Linked DNA regions of Saccharomyces cerevisiae S288C. The protein of the gene in region 2 purifies or fractionates together with the protein of the main gene of each other region. This does not show direct contact. Each region holds a gene or a part of one and is shown on either strand. Other genes may lie near its edges.

Evidence for each region.
Region 1: the proteins of RPS6A (region 2) and RIO2 purify together in Saccharomyces cerevisiae (affinity purification with mass spectrometry; 5 studies listed by BioGRID). This does not show direct contact.
Region 3: the proteins of RPS6A (region 2) and SHM1 purify together in Saccharomyces cerevisiae (affinity purification with mass spectrometry, with the first as the bait; 2 studies listed by BioGRID). This does not show direct contact.
Region 4: the proteins of RPS6A (region 2) and ENP2 purify together in Saccharomyces cerevisiae (affinity purification with mass spectrometry, with the first as the bait; 2 studies listed by BioGRID). This does not show direct contact.

What each region holds. Positions count from the first base shown.
Region 1 is NC_001146.8:253,559-257,130, reverse strand, and holds RIO2 (protein kinase RIO2), read right to left. Parts: upstream 1,779-3,572; coding exon 501-1,778; downstream 1-500. Other genes in the region: RTT106 (Rtt106p), read left to right, coding at 1-343; YNL208W (uncharacterized protein), read right to left, coding at 2,114-2,713; Hsp70 family ATPase SSB2, read right to left, coding at 3,231-3,572. UniProt on the Saccharomyces cerevisiae protein: Required for the final endonucleolytic cleavage of 20S pre-rRNA at site D in the cytoplasm, converting it into the mature 18S rRNA. Involved in normal export of the pre-40S particles from the nucleus to the cytoplasm.
Region 2 is NC_001148.4:376,318-380,550, forward strand, and holds RPS6A (40S ribosomal protein eS6 RPS6A), read right to left. Parts: upstream 2,079-4,233; coding exon 2,073-2,078; intron 1,679-2,072; coding exon 974-1,678; downstream 1-973. Other genes in the region: glutathione-disulfide reductase GLR1, read left to right, coding at 1-636; RLM1 (Rlm1p), read right to left, coding at 2,803-4,233.
Region 3 is NC_001134.8:734,488-738,236, reverse strand, and holds SHM1 (glycine hydroxymethyltransferase SHM1), read right to left. Parts: upstream 1,974-3,749; coding exon 501-1,973; downstream 1-500. Other genes in the region: Rab family GTPase YPT10, read left to right, coding at 1-467; MIC12 (Mic12p), read left to right, coding at 2,197-2,517; TAE1 (N-terminal protein methyltransferase), read left to right, coding at 2,707-3,405; GTPase-activating protein RGD1, read left to right, coding at 3,598-3,749. UniProt on the Saccharomyces cerevisiae protein: Interconversion of serine and glycine.
Region 4 is NC_001139.9:779,283-784,843, reverse strand, and holds ENP2 (ribosome biosynthesis protein ENP2), read right to left. Parts: upstream 3,078-5,561; coding exon 954-3,077; downstream 1-953. Other genes in the region: ECL1 (Ecl1p), read left to right, coding at 1-621; THI4 (thiamine thiazole synthase), read right to left, coding at 3,465-4,445. UniProt on the Saccharomyces cerevisiae protein: May be involved in rRNA-processing and ribosome biosynthesis.

The DNA.
Region 1 (3,572 bases), on a different chromosome or scaffold from region 2:
CGAGAAAAAGGCAGGTGTGTTTTCAGACGATGATGAAGAAAATGACCAAAATTTCGAAGCTGAGAGCGACCTTTCCGATGGGAGTGGCCAAGAATCCTCAGACGGTGCAGAAGACGGAGAGGAAGCAGAAGAAGATGATGAAGAAGACGATGAAGAGGAAGACAAAAAGGGCCAAAGCGCTTTGAATAGAGATAATAGTTTTGCTTCTATAAATGGTCAACCAGAACAGGAACTCCAATACAAAGAGTTTAAGGAGCCGTTAGAACTCGAAGATATTCCGATAGAAATTGATAATGATGACGATGAAGATGATGAGGATGGATCCGGAGTAGAATACGATTGACTTAGATTCGATATTATAATATAGCATGAATACGCATATGTAAGAGTTCATAAATACCACTTTTTTTATCCTGAAGAATAACATGGCTTAAAAATCAAAAAAATTATGGATAACAACTTGATTATTTGCGGCCATTTATGCAGTCGTCTAAACTAAACTACTCTAGTATATAGTTTCCTAGTTTATCCATTTTTAGATTTTCAACACCACTGGAAAGCGCCTCTATAATACGTTCGTTCTCCTCTTCTTGTGCATCTTCACTGTCATCTTCAGAACTTTCATTATCAAGTTCGGAGTCATAGTATTCATCCTCCTCTGAATAATCGCCCTCCCCATTTTCTTCTTCGGCCTCGTCATTAGACATATCGTCATCTGAATTATAAACAGCATTTCTCATGCTTTCAACGGCAGTTTCCAGGCCCCTATCTCCTGGATGCTTTTTGCTAAATCCGGAAGCCTGCACCAATTCATCCAAATTGTCGGTTCTTTTAACGTCCCTTTTGAAATCTGGATACGCATATTTATAACCATCGCCGAAACCTTCAGTGTCGAGCATTGATGAATCAGGTTTTGGTTCGTACTTCAGTTTCTTTTTGAAGAAACGACGAATACAGTCAACATCCCTTTGGAAATAATAGTCGGCGTCTTGGTGTTGAATAGATATACATTGTGGAAAATCAATAACTACGAACCCACAATCGTTTTCATCCTCTAGTTTGTCCTTTATCATAATATTAAACTCATTAAAATCACAATGGATAAGTCCGCTATTTGCTAGATCAACGATGAAACACATCAGATCACTATAAAGCTTGGGTATATTCTTATGTTTTCTTAATCTCCTCATTGGGTAACCCTCGATAAGCTCCATAACGACTATATGACGCGAGTTATCGAATGGCTCAGGGACCTTGAAACCCTTAGAATAAAGCATGGACATAAACTGATATTCTTTATTGGCTGCCAAACGTGAAAGATGCATCCAGTTTGCCCCCTGGTTGGATTTCTTCAGATAATCTCTATTATTTCTGACGGAATGAAAAGAGGTTCTACCTAATCTGTGAATTTTCATTACTCTAGGGTTTCCATTTTTGTCACTTACTTTATAGATGTCAGATTCCTTACCAACACCAATAGTGTTACCGACAGAATAGACAGTGTCTCTGTTTAACATGGTTTTCAAAGCCAAATAATCAATACCGTTATAAGTTAGCCTGTAACCATCATATTTGACATTTCTCATTTTGGAAATAAGGCTAAGCTTGGCCAAATCACTAATGGCTCGGTTTGTTCCGGACTGCGATCTCATCCCCGAGATTTGATGAATCAAGGGAGTTGGAACGACTTCGTGACTTCTAGAACCTTGTTCAACGGCCTGGAGGACACGAAAATCATCAGTTGTCAAATATCTCATATGAGAAGTATCCAATTTCATTCTAGTCTGATTGAAAGTATGTGGTAGAAGAGATGTTTAAAATAGTATTGATTGGTCAATAGAAAGACGAGCCAAGGATAAATGGTTTAATATTATTGAGTAGTTCTTACTTTAAGCTAATTACTGATGATCCTTGACCTTACCAAAATCATGAATTGCGGGTTCCAACTTCAACAGAGAACCTCATCGCCAAATTTTTAGCTTATTTTTTCACGTTTTCTTTTCTCGAATAAGTCATTTGTTACGACATCATAATAAAACGAGTAGTATATATGTATATATAGATAAATCAAGTATGTAGTTAGCTAAAAATGACACTCACTCTGTTGAGCCATTCACCAACGTGAACCGCCATTGAATCCTTGACGACCTTGGCCCCCGAATTCCTGAGGGTTTGGACCACCGAATCCTTGGCCACCTGGCCCGCCGAATTCTTGAGGATTTGGACCACCGAATCCTTGGCCACCTGGACCACCAAACTCTTGTGGACCAGGACCTCCAAATCCTTGTGGGCCTTGTCTTCCGAAACCTTGACCGCCAGGGCCGCCTGGACCGCCAAATCCACCGTTATTGTTGTTATTGTCCTGACGGTGATGGTTGTTGTGTCCACCTTGAGGAGCACCTCCGAAGTTTGAGTTGCCGTATTGCTCTTGTTGCTTATGCTCTTTACGCTCATCAGATATCTTGTTGGCAAGGAATGCACCACCTATGGCGCCCAGCACACCACTCAACTTAGAATGGTTGTTCGACACCTTAGATCCAGCGTACGCACCGGCACTGCCACCTACAATAGTGGAAAATAAACCACGTTCACCGTTGGGGTTACCATTGTCGGCACCATATTGACCGTTGTTTGGAGCACCAGTTCTTTCTTGGTTGTTTTGCTGGTTATATTGACCTTGTTGGCCACTTGAGTAGAATTCGTTTGCAGACATTTTGGACACTTGTTAGATTGTCTTAAGTGATCTATATTTGGAAGGCTTACAAGTGTTTAGCAAGACAAATTAAAGTCTTTCTTTATAAATGACTGCTCAGATTGAGTTTTTTGCCAAGCCCAACAGCCAGCCCCTTTTCCGGTATGGGCTGTGCGGGTGCCGGAATTATTAATACTGAATATTAGCCCACGCCTCATTTTTAGCATGAACGAAGAATGCTAGCGGGGCGAAATGCGAATACAGTAAAAACTCCACATGGTTGTTTTATGCAGCCGAAAAGCAGTTTCATACGTGCCACAGCTTTGGGCAGCCAGAAAAGTTGCCTTAGTATGTTGGTGTGTATCAGTCAAACACTCGTTTGATGCCTCAAGAGGGGAAACAGAAGAATAATTGAATTTATGATTGTATGATATCTTGATCGTGATATACAGAACTAAAACTTCATCTAAGATACAAAAGCTAAGACATTAAAAATGAAAAATATATATATGTGTATAACCTTAACCAGAATGACATCTTAACGAGAAGACATGGCCTTGGTGACAACTCTCTTCAAACCAACTTCTGCCTTTCTCAACTCATCAGCGGATGGGTCTTCGATTTGCAAAGCAGCCAAAGCATCGGACAAAGCAGCTTCGATCTTGGACTTGGAACCTCTCTTCAATTTAGAAGACAAGACTGGGTCAGTGACGGTTTGTTCGATGGAAGCGACGTAGGATTCTAGTCTTTGTCTAGCTTCGTGCTTCTTAGCAAAAGCTTCATCAGCAGCCTTGAACTCTTCGGCTTGGTTAACCATCTTTTCAATTTCTTCAGAAGACAATCTACCGACAGCGTTGGAGATAGTGATGTTAGAAGACTT
Region 2 (4,233 bases):
CTGAAAATACATATGAATGACTCAAAGTCCATCGATGACGTTGACGAATTAATTTGGACAATTGGACGTAAATCCCATCTAGGTATGGGTTCAGAAAATGTAGGTATAAAGCTGAACTCTCATGACCAAATAATTGCTGATGAATATCAGAACACCAATGTTCCAAACATTTATTCTCTAGGTGACGTTGTTGGAAAAGTTGAATTGACACCTGTCGCTATTGCAGCGGGCAGAAAGCTGTCTAATAGACTGTTTGGTCCAGAGAAATTCCGTAATGACAAACTAGATTACGAGAACGTCCCCAGCGTAATTTTCTCACATCCTGAAGCCGGTTCCATTGGTATTTCTGAGAAGGAAGCCATTGAAAAGTACGGTAAGGAGAATATAAAGGTCTACAATTCCAAATTTACCGCCATGTACTATGCTATGTTGAGTGAGAAATCACCCACAAGATATAAAATTGTTTGTGCGGGACCAAATGAAAAGGTTGTCGGTCTGCACATTGTTGGTGATTCCTCTGCAGAAATCTTGCAAGGGTTCGGTGTTGCTATAAAGATGGGTGCCACTAAGGCTGATTTCGATAATTGTGTTGCTATTCATCCGACTAGCGCAGAAGAATTGGTTACTATGAGATGAAGCAACGAAACTAGACGTCCAATCTGCTGTTGCTATACTGGACTTTTGTACTCTTGTAAACAATCTTATATAGCATCCTGAAATACGTAGTAATTTTGTCATTTCTGTTCAAGGACAAGGGTTCCTTTTTTTTTCAGACTATTAGCTACTGTGGACTCGCTTGGATATTCAGTTGAGGATACATTCCGACTCTCGTTTACAATACATATGATTATTTTTCTTTTTGTTAATTATATAAAAAATAAAGTTATTTGATTTTAAGCTTAAAAATACACAAAATACAGAATAAGAAAGGAGTTTTTGAACAAAAGAATTTATCTTTTACTGCTTTCTAACTTTAAGCCTTCAAAGAAGAAGCTCTTCTCTTTCTGATTTCAGCCTTCTCAGCCTTTCTTTCAGACAATCTCTTAGCCAACAATTGAGCGTATTCGGCAGCAGCTTCTCTTTGAGCTTGAGCGTTTCTGACCTTCAAAGCTCTTTGGTGTCTCTTTCTTTGCAATCTTTGAGGAGTAACCAATCTTTGGATCTTTGGAGCCTTGGTGTAAGTCTTTTCACCCTTGGTGACTTCTCTTCTGATGACGAAATCACGAACGTCATCTTCCTTGGACAAACCGAAGAACTTTCTGATGTTGTTAGCTCTCTTTGGACCCAATCTCTTTGGAACAGTAGTGTCAGTTAGACCTTCCAATTCTTGCTCACCCTTCTTGACAATGACCAAAGCCAAGACAGCCAAATCTGGACCAACAATGGCACCTCTGACGGACTTTCTCTTTCTTTCACCATCACGTCTTGGTCTGTAACAAGAAACGTTCTTGGTCAACAACAACTTGATTCTAGTTGGCAACAAAACACCTTGCTTCATTGGGAAACCTTGTTTGTCGTTACCACCAGAGATCTTGAAGACGTAACCCTTGAATTCGTCACCAACGGCTTCACCATCGACTTCTTGACCGATTCTCTTGTCGAAGAAAACACGAATACGGTGTTCATCATCAATTTCGAAGGTCTTTTGAGACCCGTTAACTGGGTAAGAAATGTTCAACTATTTTAAATTTTCAACAGGTTATTAAGAAAATTTGTTAGTATACTATTGCAAAATTAATGTTTGAATAGGGTGAAGTTTATTACTCTAGAGAAATTATTAAGTGGAAGATGAAAAAGCTTGTCTTTTATTGACTATACTCCAAGTATATGAACTGCTTCAATTTCACGGTTTGTAGTAACAGTATATGTAAACCCGCTCTGTTTGTTTAAAAATAACGCCACAAACGCATCAATTAGTATATGGTAGTCTTCCTGCTTCTTTCCATAAAAAATTTCTAAAATCTTTACGACGTCTGGTTCTGTTTAGTTCTTTCTCACTTTCAAACTTTCATGCCATTTTTCCACATATAAAGTTCTCTGTTGCCCCTCAATAATAGTATCATAAATCATACCTTCATGATGTATAGTCTGTCTTCACTCTTTTGTCACTTCTCTTAAGCAAATATAAAAATTCAATGACGAATAAGCATTAACCACTTTATCCTTGGTAACACTGTATATGAAATTTCAAAGAAACTGCAGCATCATGATGTTCCTAGACGTCGGTACTGGAATTCCCACCCAGTAGACTTACCTAGGTAGCGGCATTCCTCCAACGCTTACCAGGAGAGATAACTTTCCCGCTAGAATCGATAGAGGAGCGTGGAATTACGCCAATCTTCCAAGTGGGAACGGGCAGAGTGTCCAGTGGCTTCCTGCCTACAGAATGCACGGCCCCAGTGGGATTGGTGCAATCGCGCACGTTCCAACTTTCCGATGCTCCGGCGCGTCGATGACAATTTTACACATGAAAAACGAACTATGTAAAAATAGTTGAAATGTATGGGTTCAATGAGAACTCGAATGTACGGATGTTTTCTCTGAATGAACCTCTTGTCTTCTTCCGGCTTCTGCTTACATCAAACTCCAGGCCAGGCGGCAATTCATTTTAGTTGCTAATGCACAAAAGAGTACTTAAATACTATCATTATTCAGAAAATGCAATTGAGTTTTTCGTTTTTCTTCCTTGTTTGGGTTATTCACTACGTAAATATGTGCATTTACAATAATATAAATATAAATTTTTTAAATGAAAAGAAGTTTCTTATGCTTGGAATATTCATACTGGTCAAATTTTTTGGTTTATATTTTGCTTGAATTTTTTTCTCCTGAAATATCAGTCGAAAAATTAAAGAATTTAGTGCCTAGTGGTGTTTGAGCAGTATTTATGTATGGAGTCAGCCCGGTATTTCCATTATATGCGGTGGCAGCAGCATCATATGTACTTGAGTTGGACTGATTGTTCGAGTCACCATCGGTAGTATGTTCTGAAATAGCAGCTCCATTTACGGGTGCATCTTCATTATTACTATAGTAACTGTTATTGCTATTGTTACTGTTATTGTCGTTGCCGTTGTTGCTGTTGTTGTTGCTGCTGTTGTTGTTGTTATTGTTGTTGTTGTTGTTAGTGTTGTTAGTGCTGCTGATATTGCTGGAGTTGCCGTTGTTTACGGCCGTCTGTACGGGAGGGAAAGTACCAGGATTGTTTGTGTTTCCCGGCTTGGCACTGTTGGGTCCCATTGACCAGTCTGGAAACATCGATATAGAAGAAACATTTGGAGAATTACTCATCAAATCATGTACGAACTTCGATGGCAGTGAACCAGTTGGAGGGCCATTGCTGGTTTCAGGGCCGGAAAAAGTTGAAGGGGGGCGTCCGGTTAATGTTGTAGTTAATGGTACTGTTTGGCTCTGTTTTTTGAAAGACATTTGTTGGTATTGCTGGGTTTGTCTTTGAGCTAAAAAAGATGTATTTTGTTGGAAAGGTCCGCCAGGAATATTCGATGGTTGCAAGGGAGTGGCAATGTATGGCTGTGTTGCAGAAAAAAGAGGTGAAGACCCACTTCCGAAAGGATAAGGGTGATTGTTATTGTTACTGCCATTACCATTGTTAGAACCGTTAGGCGCATTTGCATTTGGCAATTTTATTACCATTCTGCCATTATTACCTTTTTGGAGAGTTAAGGGGCCTGAGGCAGATGCGGATAGTGGAGAAATTTTGCTAGACCTACTTGTTTTGTTTTCTTTCATTATCTGCGAAGAGCCCATACTATTGCCGTTGGCCGATGTGGAGGAGGCAGAGGAGGGTTCACTTGGAATAGCGGAATTACTGCTGAAATTGTTGTTCGGAATTCTCACACGAAGTACCGGTCTGGCGGACAATTTCCTTCTTGCTTTGACAGTCTGCTGAATAGAGTCTTCCAAAGAATTAGATGGTGACTGAGTGTAGTTGCTGTTGTCATTATTATTGCTGCCACTATTGTTAATTTTGTGCTCCTGTTTAGGGGTCCTTGAGGATGCATTTGTAAATGGCTTACTGAACTTGTTCGGTGAAATGGAAATGGGTGGAGGACGACCATTAAAGGAAGAGTTTTGAAAGCTTGGTAATTTTGGAAAATCCATCGTGGAAGGAGAAGATGAACTGGATGAAGGCTGGTTAAGATTGTACATGCTACTATGGTATGGTCTCGATATATTTTGCTGCTGTTGCTGTTGCGGAGTTCTACTTATTTG
Region 3 (3,749 bases), on a different chromosome or scaffold from region 2:
CAATCGAGGTTCCTTCTAACGACTCCTCTACGGAGAAACGTATCCATATGGAGATATGGGACACGGCGGGTCAGGAACGGTATAAATCACTGGTGCCAATGTATTATCGAGATGCGAATATTGCTTTGATTGTATTCGAATTGGGAGACGTATCCAGTCTGCAATGTGCAAAGACATGGTTTCAAGATTTACAGGACCGTGCTCAGGGAACGCAGGTAATTATCGTGGGCAATAAGTACGATTTAGTCTGCGAAGAGCATTCAGGGGAAGTGACTATACCGGCGGAGTTACAGGGTCTGCCGTATGTGGCCGTAAGTGCAAAGACAGGGTACAATTTCGATACATTGAATAAAATAATAATCAGTTTGGTTCCCGAAAGTCAATTCAAGACATTGTCAAAGAACAATGAACAGGGAAATATACTGGAAATAAATAAAAAAAAAAGCGGCAGTGGCTGTATATGTTAATACATAAAGTATTTGATTTTAAATCATAATTACTTAGATATCACCTGGGACAGGGTATTGACCGACCCACTTGGAAATCTCGCCAGACAAAGCAGCGACTTCACTAGATTCATTACACAACTTCTTGAACTCATTGAGTCTTGATCTTGCATCTAGTTTCGTTGTTGGTTCCAAAGTTTTCAAATTTTCAGCGAGCTTAACGGCAGAATCAATGTACTTTGCGACTTGAGAAAACTCTTCACGGCCAAATCCTCTCGTGGTCATTGCTGGAGTACCGATTCTTAGACCAGAGGGGAAAAGAGCACTCTTATCACCTGGGATGGTGTTCTTGTTAGCAGCAATGTTCAAGGCACTTAAAATTGTCTCGACACGAGCACCGTCTACCTGAGTACCGGATAAGTCAATAACAATCAAGTGGTTATCGGTACCGCCGGAAACCAACTTATAACCCATCTTGGTTAGTTCCTGAGCAAACCATTTGCTGTTGTCGACAATTTTTTGTTGGTATTCTTTGAATTCTGGAGACATCGCTTGCTTTAATGCCACTGCCATTGCACCGATAGTATGGTTGTGAGGACCACCTTGATGTCCTGGGAAAACTGAGAAGTTGATTTTCTTTTCTAACTCATATGGGATTTCCTTGCCCTTTTTGGTGACAGACTTGATACCCTTTCTGAAGAAAATCATAGCACCTCTTGGGCCTCTCAAGGACTTGTGAGTGGTTGTGGTAACTATATCGGAATGTTCAAATGGAGATGGGACAACATTGGCTGCCACCAAACCGGATATGTGTGCCATATCACTCATCAAATATGCGCCGCATCCTTGGGAAATTTCCTTGAATCTAGCGTAGTCTATTAATCTCGAGTACGCGGAAGTACCGGCCACGATCACCTTTGGTCTGAATGCCTTGGCCAATACTTGCAAGTTATCGTAATCGATTAGCCCCGTAGTGTGGTCGACATGGTATGGCATACTTTGGAAGTATTTGGAAATGAAAGAAATTGGCGTTCCTGACTTAAGTTGGTACCCGTGAGACAAGTGACCACCATCTGGCAAATCCAATCCCATTAATCTTTCACCAACGTTCATGATAGCGGAGTAAACATACAAATTGGCAGGTGCCCCGCTTAATGGTTGAACATTAACTCCCCACTTGGCAGGGTCTAATCCGTACAGTTCCAGAGCTCTTGCTTGACACAAGGATTCGGACTTATCGATGATTTCGTTACCTCCGTAGTATCTTTCACCTGGATAACCTTCAGAATACTTGTTTTGGAGCTCAGAACCTAGCAAATCCATAACGGCCTTCGAGGTGAAGTTTTCTGATGGGATAAGGGTGATAGAGTGTTTTTGTCTGTGACGTTCTTGTTGCAAGATGTCAAACATCTCTGGATCTCCCTCCGAGACTGGTTTGGAGACTAGCGATTGTGCACCACTGGTGAGTAGCCCACGACGATGAACAGTTGCCATACATTTGGCCAATGCAGAAGCTCTGGGAAACATGATTGAAAGACTATGAGACTCGATGTGGAAATGTCGGCTTGATGATTTTTGATAGTTTGCTCTTCTCCAAGAGGCGATGGCTTTTAGTATTTTTTTTCTCATTGACCACCAATAAGCGAAGTACCTAAAAAAAAATAATGAGTCTTTTTTATATTCTATCTCTTGGACAGAAGGGGGACAGAACAGACAGTGGACTAAGAACCAGCAGATAACGGAGAGAATCATGTCGAAATTGGGTCCGTTAGCAAGATCTGTGAAGTGGACTCTCTCTGTGGGAGTAATCGGTTCTGTTTTTTACCTGTACCGATACAGTAACAATGGCTACTTCTACGATCACGATGCTACATGGTTGAAACAAGATCATCAGGTACAGGACCTGGTGGATAGAAAAGAAGTGGTACCTGGGGAGACCAGGAACCGCAAGCTAGTTGTGACGGATGATGGCACTGCATGGAGCAGGACCATGGGGGAGAGCATAAAAGATATTTGGAATGAACAGATAAGAAACTCTGTCGATTGGATCTACTCCTGGGGTAAGAATTAGCGAGCTTTCTATTTCTCCTACTGTAACGAACATCCTCATGTATATAACCTATTGTAACGACTCTGTGTAGAACTTTATATTCAGAAAAAATATCAAAAGAAAAATTTAATTATTAATCAGTACTTTTCACTCTGGTAATGTGCATCGGTGTCAAGAGCATCTCCAAGAAAGAATACATAAACAACAACGATGGACGTGCCTGCAGATTCCCATATCAAATACGAAGATGCCATCGACTATTGGACGGATGTGGACGCCACTGTGGATGGTGTTCTAGGTGGATACGGAGAAGGTACAGTAGTACCCACAATGGATGTCCTGGGATCCAATAACTTCCTGCGTAAACTGAAGTCGAGGATGCTGCCTCAGGAGAACAACGTGAAGTACGCTGTAGACATTGGTGCGGGGATTGGACGTGTAAGCAAGACCATGCTTCACAAGCACGCCGCTAAGATAGACCTTGTAGAACCGGTAAAGCCTTTTATCGAGCAAATGCACGTTGAATTGGCTGAGCTGAAAGACAAAGGCCAAATTGGACAAATATATGAAGTAGGGATGCAGGACTGGACCCCCGATGCCGGCAAGTACTGGCTGATCTGGTGCCAATGGTGCGTGGGACACCTGCCAGATGCAGAACTCGTCGCATTCCTGAAAAGATGTATTGTTGGTTTGCAACCTAATGGGACAATCGTGGTCAAAGAAAATAACACACCTACAGATACCGATGATTTCGACGAAACGGATTCTTCGGTCACAAGGTCAGATGCTAAGTTCAGGCAAATCTTCGAAGAAGCTGGCCTAAAGCTCATCGCCAGTGAAAGACAACGTGGCTTACCAAGAGAATTGTACCCAGTGAGGATGTACGCACTCAAGCCCATGCCAAACTAGGATCAAGGATGCATAGATTTATATAGATACGCCCCTTTTCTTGTGCTGGCATTCACCATTTGTGCCATTATATAGACTTTTTTTTCGATATATATGGAAAAAGAACCCAGAAAATAAAGAATGTGAACAAAATAGTATGTAAAGTAAAAACATACAATCTCGGAAGATTAAAAGAGAAGTGATATAGACAAGATGGAAGAGACTGCGAAGAAACCAGCTAGTGCCACAGTAAGTGCGAAGTCGTCGCACGATGGTGGCACCGACGATTTGGCGCACCTTTTTAGCACGCCAGAGATCAAGAAGGTGCTAAATTCCGATGTGGCAATTAACGCTTTGTTGAGCCG
Region 4 (5,561 bases), on a different chromosome or scaffold from region 2:
AACGATTACTGCACTGTTTGTGATCGTCTCATTCCAACATCTCCACAGAAAACGAACATTAATACCAGGAAGATCCAAAGGGACAATGAAACCAAGAGCAGTTTACAATCAAATAAGTTATATTGCTCCGAAGATTGTAAGCTGAAGGATTCGAACCCTCTTAATGAGAAATTATTATCCCACTTGCATAAAAAATCAAAAACTTCTCATTCGCATAATCTCACTCCACCGCTTTCATATTCTAAAAATTTAACTGCATCAAACCTCTTCGAGCCGACTACCTCACTATCTTCATCTCCGACATCTTCAACTATCCCCTTTGACGAGTTGGAGAAGCTAGAGTCCTTATTAATTTCACCATTGCTGCTACCTCAGGATGGTATAGTCAATCCTAAGCAGGAGTCTAATCCTTCTCGTGTTGACGAATATGATGAAAATGAACATTATTTGAACTTAGCCGACTCTCTTAGACTCGATTCTAGTTACCAATTGCATTCAAAGGCACATTTGGGTTACGAAAACAACTTGCCACGATCAAACGATCTAATTGATGATCATTTGATCTCAGATCAGATCATTGAGAATAACTACAACCTATGGTTTAGACTATCCTCCAGTTAAACGGCTTCACTTGCTTCGTATCTTCTTCGACTTGCCTTTAACCTACTCATGATTCATGCTTATTTTTTCTTTTTCGATTTCCTTTTCTAGTCATCCTAAAAAAAAAAAACCTACACATATACATATATACATAGTTCTCTACACATCCTTTTGATAAAGAAAATATGTACGTACATCTGCATTAAAAAAAAAAAACAAAACCCTCAATATTTGGGGAAAGAATTCTATAATGTAAACTGTATCACGCATACTTTTTGCTGTCTTCGTCTTCATACATATAATATTTTTAGTTTAAGGTGAAAGGATAATTAAAATATCAATTTCTAATATAACTACATACCACGGAACGCATTTTTGCTAGCTCTTCTTCTATTTTCGAATCTGGGCTTCGACCTACCATTGTCCTTCTTATTACCATTTTCGTCAATACCTTCTTCATCCGATGAATTATCATGACGCCTGGATTTATAATTTCCGTCTTTTTTGCTTTTTCTTTGAGGAATAAAAGTAAGTTCTGCTTCACCGCGTTGGTTACGACGTAAAATGGATTCATTTGATTTCTTTCCATTTTCCACCTCAAGCAATTCGCCTACTTGTTCGCCAAATGTAACGTGAGCACTTTCGTCTCTTTGCGTACTCGTGGAAGTGCCGGCTTTCATTTCGTTCATAAAACGTTCGCTTTGCTCCTTTTCCTTCTTTCTGCGTTCAATTAGTGCCTTTTGCTTTTCCATCTTTCTCAAATCTTTTTCACTTAATTCTTCCTTATTTGACTTTTGGTTCGTTTCATCATCAGATTCTTCTTCATCAGACTCTTCATCCTCGTAGTCATAGTGACCTCTGCCATCCTTCATTGCAATTCTTTCTTCGTCGGACTCTTCGGCAGCAGTTAGCGCCCTAATACGTTTAGCAGCACCTTCTTCGGTTTCTTTGATGGATTTTACTGGATTCAATTGTTTGAAATCATAGTCATCTTCATCGACTTGAAATTCTTCATCCTCAAACATTTCTTTGAAACGGTCATCCGTAAGAACCTTTCCTGCAACTTTATCACCACGTTTTTGAGATAGTTTATCAACCAATGTTTTATTGACTTTAATTTTAGGTTTTTGAACAGCCCCTGAACTTCTGATTCTGGATTCTCTTTCTTTCTCAATTCTACGTCTAATTTCTCTTTCTCTTTCATCTTTGTAGGCATCTGGATTAGCAATTAATGAAACCTTATCGTAAAGTTCAGTGTTAATAAAGAAACCATGCATGTATGCTCTTAATACTCTGGATCCCACCAAGTGCGTTAAATTCAATTTTTTAACGTCGTCTCTAGTAATGAACCTGTAGTTAGAGTAAACAGTGTCACTTGGTTTTTCTTCTAATTCTTCTGTGATAGAATCCAAGAATGAGCACCAGCGTGGAGATGGTCCTAAACTTGGAATATAATATGTATGCATGGGAATACTTTCGTTAGCGGTGAAAAACATACCTGTACCTGGTACATGCTCAATGTCGTTAATATCAACACTAGGCTCCATAGAAGCGTATGCCTTACCATCTAGTCTATCCCATATTTTTGCAATTCTCTTGTCACATGTAACAATTTTATTTTCCGTGCCGACGTTATCCAACCAAATAATTTTCTTAATGTCAAACCCATAACCTTGGTCTTTAATAATGGAAGGTTCAGAAGTACGCAAGTCATAAATGTATGAATAACCGTTCGACGTACCACATGCAAAAGTTAACCCGTCATTACGGAAACTGGTTGTGGTGACTTGGAATGGTCTGTTGTCAATATTGTTCTCTAAATATAGCTTTGAAACACGGGAACGCGACCTTGGATCCCAGAATTCCACTACATTTGTTTCCGTGCCTGCCGCTAACAACCCATTTACTTCATTGATAGAAACATGGTTCACGCCTTCAGTATCCAACTTGAATGGGTTTAAAAATCTCCCCTTTTCCAAGTTCAACCTGTATAACTCATTACCGCTCGCACCAACATATAAATCACAGTTTACCTTATTGTAAACTAAACTTCTCCCAAATTTAGGAATTCTTGTGGTGTAATGTAGACCACCTTTGTTTTGGAATTGAATACTTCTATCATTTTGTAAATGTACACTTTTAGTCCAATCGTCAGAGAGAATAGTGAAATCCACGTTTTCAGCATCTGTGTGTCTATCGAACTTCAGTGACAAATTAGCAAAATCGTAGACATGGATCTGAGGTTTGTATGTACCGGTAGCCATGCAATATTGCCCATCTCTACTCACTTTAATCTTATTGGAGGCTTCGCTAAATTCAAAATCTTGAATCAGTTCTACTCTATTTTGATATTCTAAATCATTCTTTAATTGCCTTTTGCGCTTTTTCGCAATCCAGTCTGGAAGTGATCTTGAAACGTTTGTACCAGAAACCTGATATACTGAAACATCATTTGCGGAAGTAGATTTCAAAACCATAATGTCCCCTTTTTGAAGATATATGTTGATACCTGTAACTGATGTAATAAATGATGTGTTACTGATTACAGCCGATGAGATGAGATGAGCTTAGCTCAAAATTTTCAATTTTTTTTTTTCTTAATTTTTTTTAAGATCATATTTGGTTACCCGACCATGAAGTGACATTTGAAGAATTGATTTATATTTTTAATATTGCAAGATGTGCGAAAACTCACCATTACAGAGATAACTAAAAGTCTTATCTCATCACTATCGGATCTTTCCACTTAGTATTTTCTACGGTTAATTTAAAAATCAATAATAAAACAAAATCATCAGCGAAAATTGTGTATATAGCGTGTATAAAAAATATATAAATCTTTAAAAGCATACCTCATTAAAAGCCTAAGCAGCAAAGTGTTTCAAAATTTGCTCAGCAGCATGAACACCACTCAAAGCCATAGCTCCAAAAGTTGGACCCATACGGTTTAATCCATCCAGTTCAGCAACTTCCATACCAGCAAAGTACATGTTGTCAACACCGGCGTATGCACCAGAGTGAATAACGACATCGTGTTCGGCATGGTTCATGTCCAGACCCTTCATACCGCCCAATTTTTGGTTTTGATCAATGTCGACGATTCTCTTGGCGCAGAAAGCACCAAATGGACCATCATGACCGGTAGTGGATAAAATGACACCATGCTTTTGACTCAAGTCACGAGTTCCGTCATTTTTGTAACCTGCCAATTCAATTACGTTAGGGTCCATGCAACATTGAGTACCGTGAGCTTGGGTAACTAACGTCCAGTTGGTGACAACACCAGCAACGGTGACTTCGCCCTTTTCGGTAGGTGGTCTGGTAACCAAATCTTCAACACAGGTAGCATTGAACAGTTTAACATTTGGTAATTGCAAGACCTTTGAAAGGACAGTAGAGATGAACAAAGCGGCATGCTTAACGACAACATAGTCACCTTCGTCTTCGTAAGGGATTTCCAACTCTTGTAAGAACAAATGAGCTGGTTTTCTCATAACCATGGCACTAAATAATTGACCACCCAACCAACTACCACCACCTGGTGCAACTGAACTTTCGATAATACAAACCTTCAAGTCTGGTCTGTTCTTGGCGATGACGTAAGCGGCGGATAAACCTGAAGAGCCCGCACCGACAATAATCACGTCAGAAACGGCAAACTTGTCAAGATCCTTGAAATAACGAGAAGTCATAGCACGAGAGACAGTGGATTCGCGGATGGGAGCAAATTTAAAGTCAGACCAATCTTCTTTCTTAACGATGTCAGATAAGCAGTGAGTAACTGGAGTAGAGTTTAAGTGCAATTGAGAGGCACTTGTGGAAGTAGCAGTAGAGGTAGCAGACATTTTGATAGTTAGTTGATTTTTTTGGTTGTGATTTATTATTTCTAGATGATAAGAAAGAGAACATAAAAGATATTTCCCGACTACTTAATACACAATTTATTCCAATATTTATATATCTGGGTAGTTCATAAATTGAAAATCAAAAAATCAATTTCATGATCCATTTCTATTAGTGCTCGTAAAAAAATTTACGATTGAACTTGGTAACTGATAGAATACCAGATTCTTTACTATCAATTATGTATGTTTTTTAACGTGCATAATTATTAAAAGACCATTTGATTTTAAAAATGACGTTAGGAGATCGGACATTTTATGAAAACTTCAGAAAAAGGGCTTAAAGTAGAGTATCGTTTTGGACGTCTACAGGAAAATGGGGTGGTAAATGTTCTTGGCGTAAAAAAAAACTATTCACTAAAGCAATTGAGTGCCGATCCCTGTTGAGGAATGCTCATAAAGAGAAAGTATCAGAATTATTCCCCGCCGTAAATTTGTAAAAAAAGGGTAAAAAACGGTTAATCCTGAAGGGGCTTGGAAAGCTCGCCAGCTTCTTGTAATTCTTGACGCCACATATAGCAATCACTAACGAAGAAGTTGACTTTTTAGGGGGTTGATAAGCATTTTTCCCACCCATTTGCATCAGTTAATGTCAATTCAGTCATGATTTGCAAGATATTAGGAGAAAAAGTATGAAAATTAAAAAAGTAATCTTGAGCGGTACGAGAATCGAACCCGTGTCCCCACCTTGGAAGGGTGGGATGATAACCACTACACTAACCGCCCGGGGTTAACTTGAAAGCTCTAAAAGCTCGTTTTCCATATATAGGCATGTTACAATTCCTTTCCATTCTTTCCATTTTATCCATTATCTGATGCATTTCCCTGATAGAATAAGAACAAACTACCATCCATCGATTAGTATTCATGTCACTAGTATATTAATTATCATTTATGATGTAAAAAGAGGACATAAAAGTTATAGAACAGTCATTAGGTTTAATAAAAGCTTAAATAAGAGGATCGATGAAATAGTAGGATAGTGAAACATATAAAATGGAAAAGAAATAATAATACTATTAGGTAGATATATTGATTCCCTTTGGATTCCTGTATCTT